Linked DNA regions of Drosophila melanogaster. The protein of the gene in region 1 interacts with the protein of each later gene in a pairwise test. Each region holds a gene or a part of one and is shown on either strand. Other genes may lie near its edges. The genes, in order: Ddr and CG3061.

Evidence for each region.
Region 2: the proteins of Ddr (region 1) and CG3061 interact in a two-hybrid assay, tested with the Drosophila melanogaster proteins (one large-scale study listed by BioGRID).

Annotation. Positions count from the first base shown.
Region 1 is NT_033779.5:6,251,055-6,256,189, reverse strand, and holds the start of Ddr (discoidin domain receptor), read right to left. Parts: upstream 3,068-5,135; 5' UTR 2,861-3,067; intron 332-2,860; exon of another isoform or gene 315-331; coding exon of another isoform or gene 1-314. Other genes in the region: AANATL2 (arylalkylamine N-acetyltransferase-like 2), read right to left, coding at 1-314.
Region 2 is NT_033777.3:14,030,193-14,035,542, reverse strand, and holds CG3061 (uncharacterized protein), read right to left. Parts: upstream 3,173-5,350; 5' UTR 2,854-3,172; coding exon 2,721-2,853; intron 2,277-2,720; coding exon 2,102-2,276; intron 2,038-2,101; coding exon 1,623-2,037; intron 1,557-1,622; coding exon 1,444-1,556; intron 1,382-1,443; coding exon 1,218-1,381; intron 1,164-1,217; coding exon 1,051-1,163; 3' UTR 502-1,050; downstream 1-501. Other genes in the region: CG9922 (uncharacterized protein), read left to right, coding at 1-99, 265-363; Cyp6d5 (cytochrome P450 6d5), read right to left, coding at 4,117-4,280, 4,419-4,667, 4,759-5,189, 5,259-5,350.

The DNA.
Region 1 (5,135 bases):
TTGTGTATCTTGTCCAGCAGGCACGTGATCTCCTTCTGCTCAGCCTCCTGGTACTCCCTCTCCAGATCCTCGGGTACCAATTCACCGGCCAGAACCACGCCCACAATGCGCTCCCCGTCGACGGCCACCAGGGAGAGATCCTGGGGTATGAGCGAGCGGTGTAGCTCAGCCTCCGCGGAAGACACCTCGCTCTGCTTGGGATCCTCCTGGGGGATCAGCATTAGCGGCTCCTGCTTGAAGAAGTGCACTGCGAGAAAGGCCTCGACCTCCTCGTAATCCCCGATTGTCATGGCGCGTATGGTGATCGCTGACATCTTCGCATTTGCCTCGCTCGCGGACTGAGACTGAGAGAAATTTAGCGCAATTTACTTGTTATATACATGCCAGGCCATCAAACATGCAGTGAGCTTGCGCCATCGTCTCCGTTCTGAGCTTTTCACGAATATGGGGCCCTCCTCCCAACGCACCGCCCACCTCCCACCGCCCAACCACCCACTGACCCGACGCACAGTTCTTATCAAAGCTTTTTTTCAAAATGATGTTCGCTAAACAAGCGGCCCCGAGGTTGAATGACACCAGTTTTGTTGTTCTGAGCGTGTGAATAATGATCTCAAACCATTTAGCGGTCCGATTGACGCCACCTGATTACGACGAGTCATTATACGGTTTATATGAGACCCCATATGTCTCGTAATACGGATCTTATCATTGGGTTAATATCTACGGAACATTATATGTAGCTATTTTACTTGCCGGTAGATACTGATCTCAAGTGTAGATTGCGCAGCTTTAGACTTAATATGTTTTTATATAGAGTGTATAACGGGTAATTCAAGACAGGTATTTTTAGGCAAGTAGTCCACTTGTGGATGGCATTTAAATATAATTTCTACCCGGCTCGAACTCGACTATAAGATACTCGTTCTTAAACGCAAGCTGTACCCTACATATAAAAAGTGATAGATATAATAAGCATCTGTTTAATCCTGAAACTGTAGCTCTGATAACATATCAGGTTTTCAGGATCCTGAAGTTCACACGGATTGGAAGCCACTAATCACCGGGATATATGGGTTAAAATTGCTTCTCAAACTTGGACAAAAGTTGTTAACTTGAGGTCTGTAGACGGCGATTCCACTCTCAAGTGGTGAATAATATTCCAAACAATGAGTGGTCCGGTGAATAAAATTGAACAGGTTTAAGGCAGGGCTTTGCTTTTGCATTTTGCGTGTTTCAATGCGAAACAAGTCGGTGGTTGAGTTCCCACCTTCTGTTCGACGAATCATTTGGCTAAATTATGAATCGCTGTTCAAACTCAAAATGCAGGTCATTAGTGCAATTTACATCAACCCCTTTTTAGTTTGCCCTCGTGGACTGTCACACGCACTTTACTGCACCACATTAACCCTTTGTTGCCCATCGCCGTTTTGCATTTTCCGCCCCCTAGTTGTCTTTTTCAATTATTTGCGGGGCTTGGTAGTCGTTGAACCCGTTTGAAGTTTAAAATCATTTTTTTTTATTTATTTATTTACTCTACGTGCAGCGCTGTTTTTTGATATCGCTCGCGGTCTTTATGGGAATTTAATTAGATTTAAAAGCCATAAACAAAACGCTATCTCGCTCTGGTCGCTTTTTAAGGTTGCTTTTACTTGGCATTTCGAGTCGCAATTGTTTTAAATTATTGGCATTTAATTTGTTGCGTCATTTTCAAGGTTTCCACATCCGATGACTTCAGTGGGGAAAACGAAAACGAATTAAAGTTTATTGAAATCGATTTTCACAGCGCAGAGCAAGAGCATTTGTAGCCATTTTGCGCGTTTCAAGTTTAATTTTCTATTTTTATTTTCGTGTTGATGACAACACCCAGAGGGGCTGGCTAGGATGGCATGGGATTTCCCGGACTACGTGACCCGCTTAACAAATTTGTGCGTGTTTGGGTTCGCCCAGTCCACGACCTCCAGGATCCGACTGCCGATAGCGTTTGCGCCACCCTCGCTTTATAGTTATTGCACTTTTATCTGCCTGACCATTTCAAAAGTCACTTTTGGCCTCCACTGTCCACTCTTCCATTTAATTAAAAACGAATGCACTGGCAGGGGTCAAAGTTCGTTCCCACGATCACCTCTACGCCTATCTGAGCTGGTATCTTAATGCCTGCGGGTTTTTCAGGCGCTAAAACGGTTTGCTACCTTTTGTTGCCCGAACTATGCGCTTTGTATCTATCACTTAATCAGACATTTCATTATCATAACTTCAAGGTCCCCATTAAACCTCAACTATTGAGCTGTGAATAGCTATAATCAATCCATTAGTTCGTTTTAACAATCACAATAATTATGGCATTTTGGCATGTAAGAAGTTAAGTCGAATTTGCAGGCACTGCGAAATACTAAAGATTTAGTTTATGAGCTCCATTTGAAATTGTTTTGTTAGCAATTAGTGGTTTGAGTTATGTAAGTTAAAGTAGAGCAAAATAATTTAATTTTAAGTTGGAGCACTCAAATTTGATTGGCCGCCGCCAACTTTTCCCCCTCAAATTTTGGCCGGTCTTTAATGGCATCATAAAGCTGTTAGCAAATATTAGGTGCATATTTCGGTGAGCATAGTTTTAATTAGTTTCAATTACTTCTTAAACTTTTTATTGGATTCGTCCCGACCATGCGAATTACCGTTAATCACCCCATTAAGATGAGCTAAAAGCCGAAAAACGAAATCATAACTTTTATTTTCACATAATTAAATCGACATTAGAGGTCGTTTAACTTTAGTTAACTACATTTAAGCCAAACGAGGTTAATTTTCGTGGTGGCAAGCGGGTCGCCAGGGTGGCAAAACTGGGTGGAAAAGCATACGGGCTCACCTGGACATTCGGAGGCCTTTGGAGTCCTGCGGATGATCCAATATTCGCTTGATGATGTTGCACATGGTTAAGTTACCGTTAACACTAATCACCACCAAGGTCGACACACACGATAACCGATAACGATAGTTTGTTGTCGATAGCCGATTGCCGACAATCGATTGCCGATGGCCGATAACGATAGGTGCAACACCGCCAGTTGTCCGACGCGTTGCTCCAGCAAAAGTTTCGCAACGACTACTGGCCCGTCAATTGGAGCTGCCTCAACGAGTGCCACAATGTCATCCACACGCACACAGACGAACCAGCACGGAGGACACCACACACATGCACACGAAAGAGGAAACATTTGCGATTTCCTTGCGCGACGTTTCCTGCTGTCGCAAAGAGTACTTGAAAGAGTAGGTTAAAAGAGCGCCACTCTCTTTCATCATTGGCGCAAACTCGCTCGCATGTGGATCCCATTTGTTTGATGAGAAAAGTATGAGTAGGTTGTGTGAGGGGGAGGTGAGTTGTTGCTGGCACAGGTGAGTCCATAATTCTGGCTTGTAAATACAAATAAAGGTACATAGTTTCTGATGCAAAATTGAATACAAAACTGGACACATTTGCTAAGATAGTTTTTGAAAAGAAAATACCTCTTTTCACAACTTTTCTGGAAAAACTCTCTCGCTAGCGCATTAAATATTTAAAATTATTGATTACATTTCTGGACCTGCTTCACCTTTCACCGCCCAGCCCGCCCACACAAACAAAACAAACTCAACGTTACTTTGTATTAACTTGAACTGTATCAGAGAGTTCTGCAATTTAAGAGCGTGCTCCGCTCTCTTCGACTCTCGTTGTTTCGTCGTATAAGACGGAGCGCGGCTGCCTGTTGATAAGCATTTACATTTACATAAGGTAAATAAGGAGCTGTGGATCCTAACAGCTGAACTCCGCGGGGGGGATGGGGGTCATGTAAACAACTACAAAAGTTTTCGGCCAGCAAAAGAGTTATTATGGAAAAAATCAAAATGGGCTATCGAAAAAATTAATTATCCTGAACGGAAGCGAATGCAACTTTTTTTTAAAAAAGTTTTAACAAAGTAAAGCAACATGGCACCGCGAAATGTATTCAACTTTCATTAACCAATATAGTAATGGAGTTTATTTTTCTACCTTTACAATATTCATAACTCGAGTATGAGAGGTGTAAAAAAAAATGATATCATAAAAAAAATGTAAAAAAGATAACAACAAAGACTTTAAAATTGTCGCAACTAAGAGGAAAAAATAAATATCAAAAGATGCAAGTAACCAATATTTAATTAAGTGGGCTGCTGTTTATGACATTTTATTCAAACAGAGAGTAAAACCCTAAAGGCTTTTGCGCATTTACATCCTTAAATATTGCCTCGATTCTTAAATTTCTTTATTTGCTTGGAAACCAGTTGTCTATTTATTAATCAGAAAAATCAATATCTACGTTTTATATAAAGTAAAATGTATCTCAAAAATACACAAGAGCTCAAGGCAAAGCCCTTAAAATAGAAAACCTACATTGGTTTAATTTTGTTGTATCAAATGCAGTTAAATGTTGTTAGCTTTTACAACATTTTTTGTGCAACAAAAACGTAATGTTTAAACTCTCTAATTATTATGCGTAGTCAATCTTAATAAAAGACCCAAGAAATGTGACACCAAAAATGCATTAAAATTAAGCAAATAAATTACACACATGTGCTTAATTTTGCGTTTAGGGATTATGTACAAGAAATTAGCAAGGCTATGCGATTTTGACATTATTCAATAACAAATTCATCTTATACCTTTTATCTGCACAGGCACACTTTCTGAATAAACATATGGCTGAAGCGTGTATCGCCGGGAATTAGTTTAAAGCAAGTTGCCACTTCAATTAGGGCCATGTCTGGCCAACGAGCGTCTGAATGGCCCCGGTGGCATCGGACTGCTGATAAGGATAACTGCCGAGTTAATCCCCGATGTCGTTGCCAAACATTCAATCACCGGCTGTCAGAAAGTTGCAGCACGGGGGCTTAAGGCAACTTTGAAAATTCCAAAACCCACTAAGACAGAGAGCAATGTGTTTGCAGCAACAAAACAAAATGCATATCAAATTGTTGACTTAATGCAGAAGGGGGAAAACAGATTGATGTCGAGCATGAGCCAAGAGTTCTTATCACAAGTTTTTCCCTACAGCTGTTTGCTTTTCTTTTCACGCTTTGCAAACCGTGAACGATTTAATGTCTGCAAAGTTATCAAACTGTTGATA
Region 2 (5,350 bases), on another chromosome or scaffold:
CAGTTTGGCAACCAGCGTAACAAGGAGAACGAACTGCGAGTAGCCAAAGAGAAGGAGCTCCAGAAGGTCCAAGTCAAGAAGGAGGACATTGAACTGATTGTACGTATGCGAAACTACAAGGAAGTATTCCCTTTCATTGTAGAGATACAAATATAGTTCATTGCATTAGCTCCAGTTCCCTTAGATTTCCTCCTTTGGTTTCCCATAGATAACTTTCTTCCGATCTTCCTTTTGTAATGGTTTCCTTCCCCTCTGCCCTTTCAGATGAACGAGCTGCTGGTTAGCAAGGCGCATGCCGAGAAAGTGCTCCGCGAGCAGAGCGGCGATGTGGTGGCCGCCTTGGAAGCCATCATCAGCAATTGAGGTGCTCGTGGAATCCGAAGCAATCCGCCGTCTGTTTCTTTTATGTAGCGTAACAACACACTGCTTTATTTGTACATTTATAAACTCTAGCGAAGAAAACAATACAAAACAAAAAGACTTTTAAGCCCACAAATGAGTGAGAGTGCTTACATCGTCTAAACGAATTTATTTTGGAGTTATAATAACTTGCAATTTTATTCAGAATATCGCCACTGCCCATGCGTTCCGTGTCCTTAAGAAAAATGTGATGATGCGTCGTATCCGTGTATAATTTATGTTTATAATTTATGTATCCGATTGCTAAATGAAACAAACGCAAAGTCCTTCGTCTCAGCCGCCCACTTATATTCGTAAATCGTGTAAATATGACTTTTTGGCAGTTGCGTTTGCTTCGCTTTCACATATTGCCCGATTGCTTTCTATACGAAATGAAAATGCTACCAAACGTTATTGGGGAAAACCTGATGCCTCATAGCAGCTCTATACGTTTCATTCCGTTTCATTTTTTTTTTTGGGGGAGAGAGGGAAGGTATTTAAATAGACATATAAATTATGAAACAAAATAGACAATGAAATTCATTTATAACAACTAAAGCAAAATATGCAATAACTACACAACCCAGCAGTTAAGGTTTCAAATAGTGGTGGATTTGAGGAGTAGCTTTTCGTGTGATAGCATTAACTAATTTATGTGATTAAATACTTTTGCAGATTCTCGCACGATGGCGTATTGATGTTCTGCGCCTTTCTGTACAGATCCCGATCGCCAAAGGTACGCGCCTTGGCCAGCATTGAGTCGCCTGTAAATCGTTTATGTTAATATCAGTTTAGTATAGTTCCTCTGCCTAACTTACGATAATTCCTCTCTCGACTGCAGGAGTGTTTTAGATGATTCACAAAGTCCTCTTCCACGGATTCCTCTAATCGGGCCACTGATCCCTGATATTCTGAATAGAAGTTGTCCTTTACGTAGTATGGTACCTTCAGGGAGTTCGTCTCACGCTTCACCGAATATTTACTGCGGATTAGAGAAATGAATCCACATTAGTGCTAAGCTAATTTTTAATTTGGTTTGCTTACTGAGAGGGCGTCAAGCTGTACATTGGGTCCGAGATGAAGAAGGACGACATCATGGAGAGTCCAATGAGCAGCACGATGGGCAGCAAGTTTACCAAGGCCGAAGAGTTGTTACCCTTGATATGGAGATAAAAGGCAGTCGTTTATAATGTGCACAAATGATTTCGACTCGGTACACTTACTTCTCGATCCTCGCGAGCCTGCTGACGACGTCGCTGCTGCCGCATATGGACATTCTGCTGTGGGAATCCGCCGTTGAAGAACATGTTGAACAGCTCCTCGGCACTGATGTCAGCCTGGAATCCACGCGAATATCCATACTCGTTGTTGTAGTATTGCCCGTGTCCATGGTGTCCGCCACCATTGTTGCCGTGACCATTGTGCGACTCATTGATGCCATACAGATCGTAGTTCTTGCGCTTTTCGGCATCCGTAAGTACGCCAGCAGCATTGCCGAGAGCCTTGAAAGCCTCCACCGCACCAGGAGCCTTATTCTTGTCGGGATGCAATTGCAGAGCTAGCTTCTTGTAGGCCTTTTTGATCTCCGAATCAGTGGCCGTCTTGCTAACGCCCAGTACTTCGTAGTAGTCCTTACATCTAATACCAAATGCACAAATGCAATTAGTAATGTGAAAGGCTGGCTATATAGAGTGGTACCTACGTTTTGACCTTTCGCACAGCTTCCAACTGATCTTTGGTGTAATCTGGGGCACTGGAACGGGAATCCGAGTTCACACGTTTCCTCGGCCCGCTGTCCTTCTCATCGCTGGCACCCGCTGTACGGGATTTGCCATTGCTTTCGTTGCTCGGAGTGCTCTTCAACTGGGCAAGTAGCTCTACAAGATGGAAAAGAAACACGTCAGCAGGTCAAAGGTCAATATTCATTTAATGCTGTGGCATGATGTTGTTGATCTGTTGTTAAGTTTTACAAGGACTTTAAAACAAAGGTGCTGCAATAATGCTCTTGTGAAAATAATGAATGCAACGCATCTCTTGTATTGTGTAATGACTATTACTTTACTGCTTTTCATCTTTAGAATATCGTCAAGGCTGTATGTTAAAAGCTAATTCGATAAAGATCGTACCACTCTACCTGGCTTACCCACGAAAGGTGCGACATAACACAAACATAACTTGGTTGTTTCTACTGATAACAAGCCTCAAAGATAACCGCTTTTAAAAGGCAAAGGGAAGCATGCTTGCCAAACTAAATCGCATCAATTGATATGGGAATGTGAACGTAGTTGATCCAGTGGATCTACTTCCTTTGTTATCCTTACTTTTGGCATTATCCGTAGGAAAGAGCCTCTCCGCCTTGAGAAGGAACTTCTCGGCCTTTTCGATTTTGCCCGCGGCGAGCGCTTGGACCGCGAAGTCGATGCACCGCTGGGCCTCGTCCTTGTTTCCGTCCATGGCGCCTTAGTGCGTAATCACTAGTTTTAGCTAGTTAACTACGTGGTGATCAAAGTAAATAGTGAGGCTCCGCTCTCTTTATTTGTGTGCGTGAGCGTGTGACGTCTATGGGCTTACGCACCAACACACACGTACGCCTGCTGGGTTCTGGGCTCGAAAAGCCTTGTTAAACACGGCTTTTTTTAGCCTCCCACCTTGCACCTTTTTCACTGTGAATTTGCTTTTCACTACACTTTCAATTTAATTGATTTATTTCGGTCAAATTTTTCGTCAGCCGAGAAAAACAAGGGAGTTGCCACCCAGTCAAGGCAAAAAACACGAGCAGAGATGCTTTCATATGCAGGCTGTGCTATTATATAGCTTGTTTTTATTGCTAAAATCCAGTCACCTAATATTTTAAGAAATAAATAAGAATAAAAATCGTAAGCATATTTAAAACAATTTATGAAAAATTTAAATTTCTAAATATAATTGTATTATATTATTATTATTAAACTGGAACAATCAAAAAGAAAATATATAAGCAGCTAGCTATAAAGTAGTTGGCTGGTAAATAGCCAAAATTAGCCAAGTGGCCAGGCAGAGTTGCATTGCCGCAGCGTTGCCGGACCGCCGGCGACAAACATATGTATGCGTTCGTGTGGGTGGTAGCGTGTGAGTGTGTGCCGCAGCATGGGAAGCGAGTGATTCGCTGATTCGCCAAATTCGTCGTATTTACTTGGAAATTTGCAAACTAATAGCCAAGGGTCGCCGCCGAACGAGTGCAATCGAATTAGATGCAAAAATATCCGTTAATTAGGTGCATTGCGGCCGAAAACGTCATCGCCGCGAGTGCGACAGTGTGCGTGTCCCCAGTGCGTGCGCTCTCGTGTGTGTGTGTATGTGCGTGTGTGTGGCGCAGTTCACACAACTTGGCCTGGAAAAAGTGAAAGAGTATTTTTTCGGCCATATTGTGTTGTCATAGCTGGAAAAAGTGCATTTCCCGGCCATATGGAGATTCAGATCATATGCGAATAAATATTCGCTGAGCCAAAGTTTACTCAGAATCCCCCCAATTTCGAGTAAATAGGGCGACTTATGTAAAGCGGAGAACGAGAAACTATTTACATTTACAAAGGTGCGTACGCCCGTGTGCCTGTGTTTGTGTGTGTGCGTGTAACTGTGTGAGGGAGAAGTGCATCCAATTGATATGTTTGTCCATATTTTCATTACAAATTGCACGTTTATTATACGGTTTACATGGTTTAATTACAAGACTAGGAGCTACTTTTTGAGAGACAGACGCACGGGAACACCTGATTTGGGCATCAGCGGTATTCCATACACGCCGAACTCAATCTCACACTTTTCCTTCCGGATCTCCAGATCGAAGTTCGACAAAACCTTGGCAATCGCTATCTTCACATTCACCTTTCCCATGCGGGCGCCTGGAAAATAGACGGAAATTTCTTAGTTTCCATGGGCAATTGGAAAGAGATCGGTGGGATATAGTGGATTTGAGTATTACTTATCTGAAGTATTCAAACTCCCATTTCACCCTGTTCATGTGGAACCTTTCTTCTTACCGATACACATCCTGGGTCCCTCGCCGAATGGCAAATAGGCCGCCTGGGTGTAGTCTTTACCATTCTCCAGATACCGTTCCGGTTTGTAGGCAAGCGGATCGGGGAAGTACTCCTCATCGCGGTGCATTCCGATGAGGGAGATTATGATGGGAGTACCCTTTTGGATCACAAGTTTGCTATCGGGCACAGGATAGTCCTTGGTGCAGATTCTATTCAGCAGTGGCAGAGCGGGATATTTGCGAGCAGTCTCTGTTAGAAAGTATACAATATTAAACCATTTATAAAAAAAATATGGAAAATATATATGAAAGAACTGCCATATATTCCCATCAAAACTTACCGAGTATACACGCCTCCAGATACTTCATGTCCGAGATGGCGTCGTATGTCAGCTTTCCGCCATGCTTTTCGATGGCACTGCGAACATCCTCCTTAGCCTTTTCCATCACTTCAGGATTTTGGGTTAGCTCGTATAGGGTAAAGGATGTTGTAGAAGCTGTCGTCTCATAACCGGCAACATAGAAGAGGAATAGCTGGCCGGCAATCAAGTCCTTGGACATGGACTTAACACCATTCTTAGTGCTTTCCGCCGACCAAATATTGTCATCGGTATTGATCTTTCCCTGATTCCGCAGCTGCAGCAGAAGTTGCAGCAGATCCTTGCGAACTATATTGTTCTGTTCCCTGAGATCGACGGTTCGATTGGACAACTCGCGCATTCTTTCGGTGGCCTCCTGTTTCCAGCCGATTTTCACAAAGAATTTCTCCAGCCTGCAAATGGTTGAAAGATATAGGTTTTATGTTTAATTATAAAGTCTATAAAGTCCACCTTCAACTTACCCGGGATACAGGAAACTAGATGTTCCACGAATAATATCTTCAATGTTGTTACGATTCACTTTTTTGCTAATAATCTGGAATTCGTTGTTGGG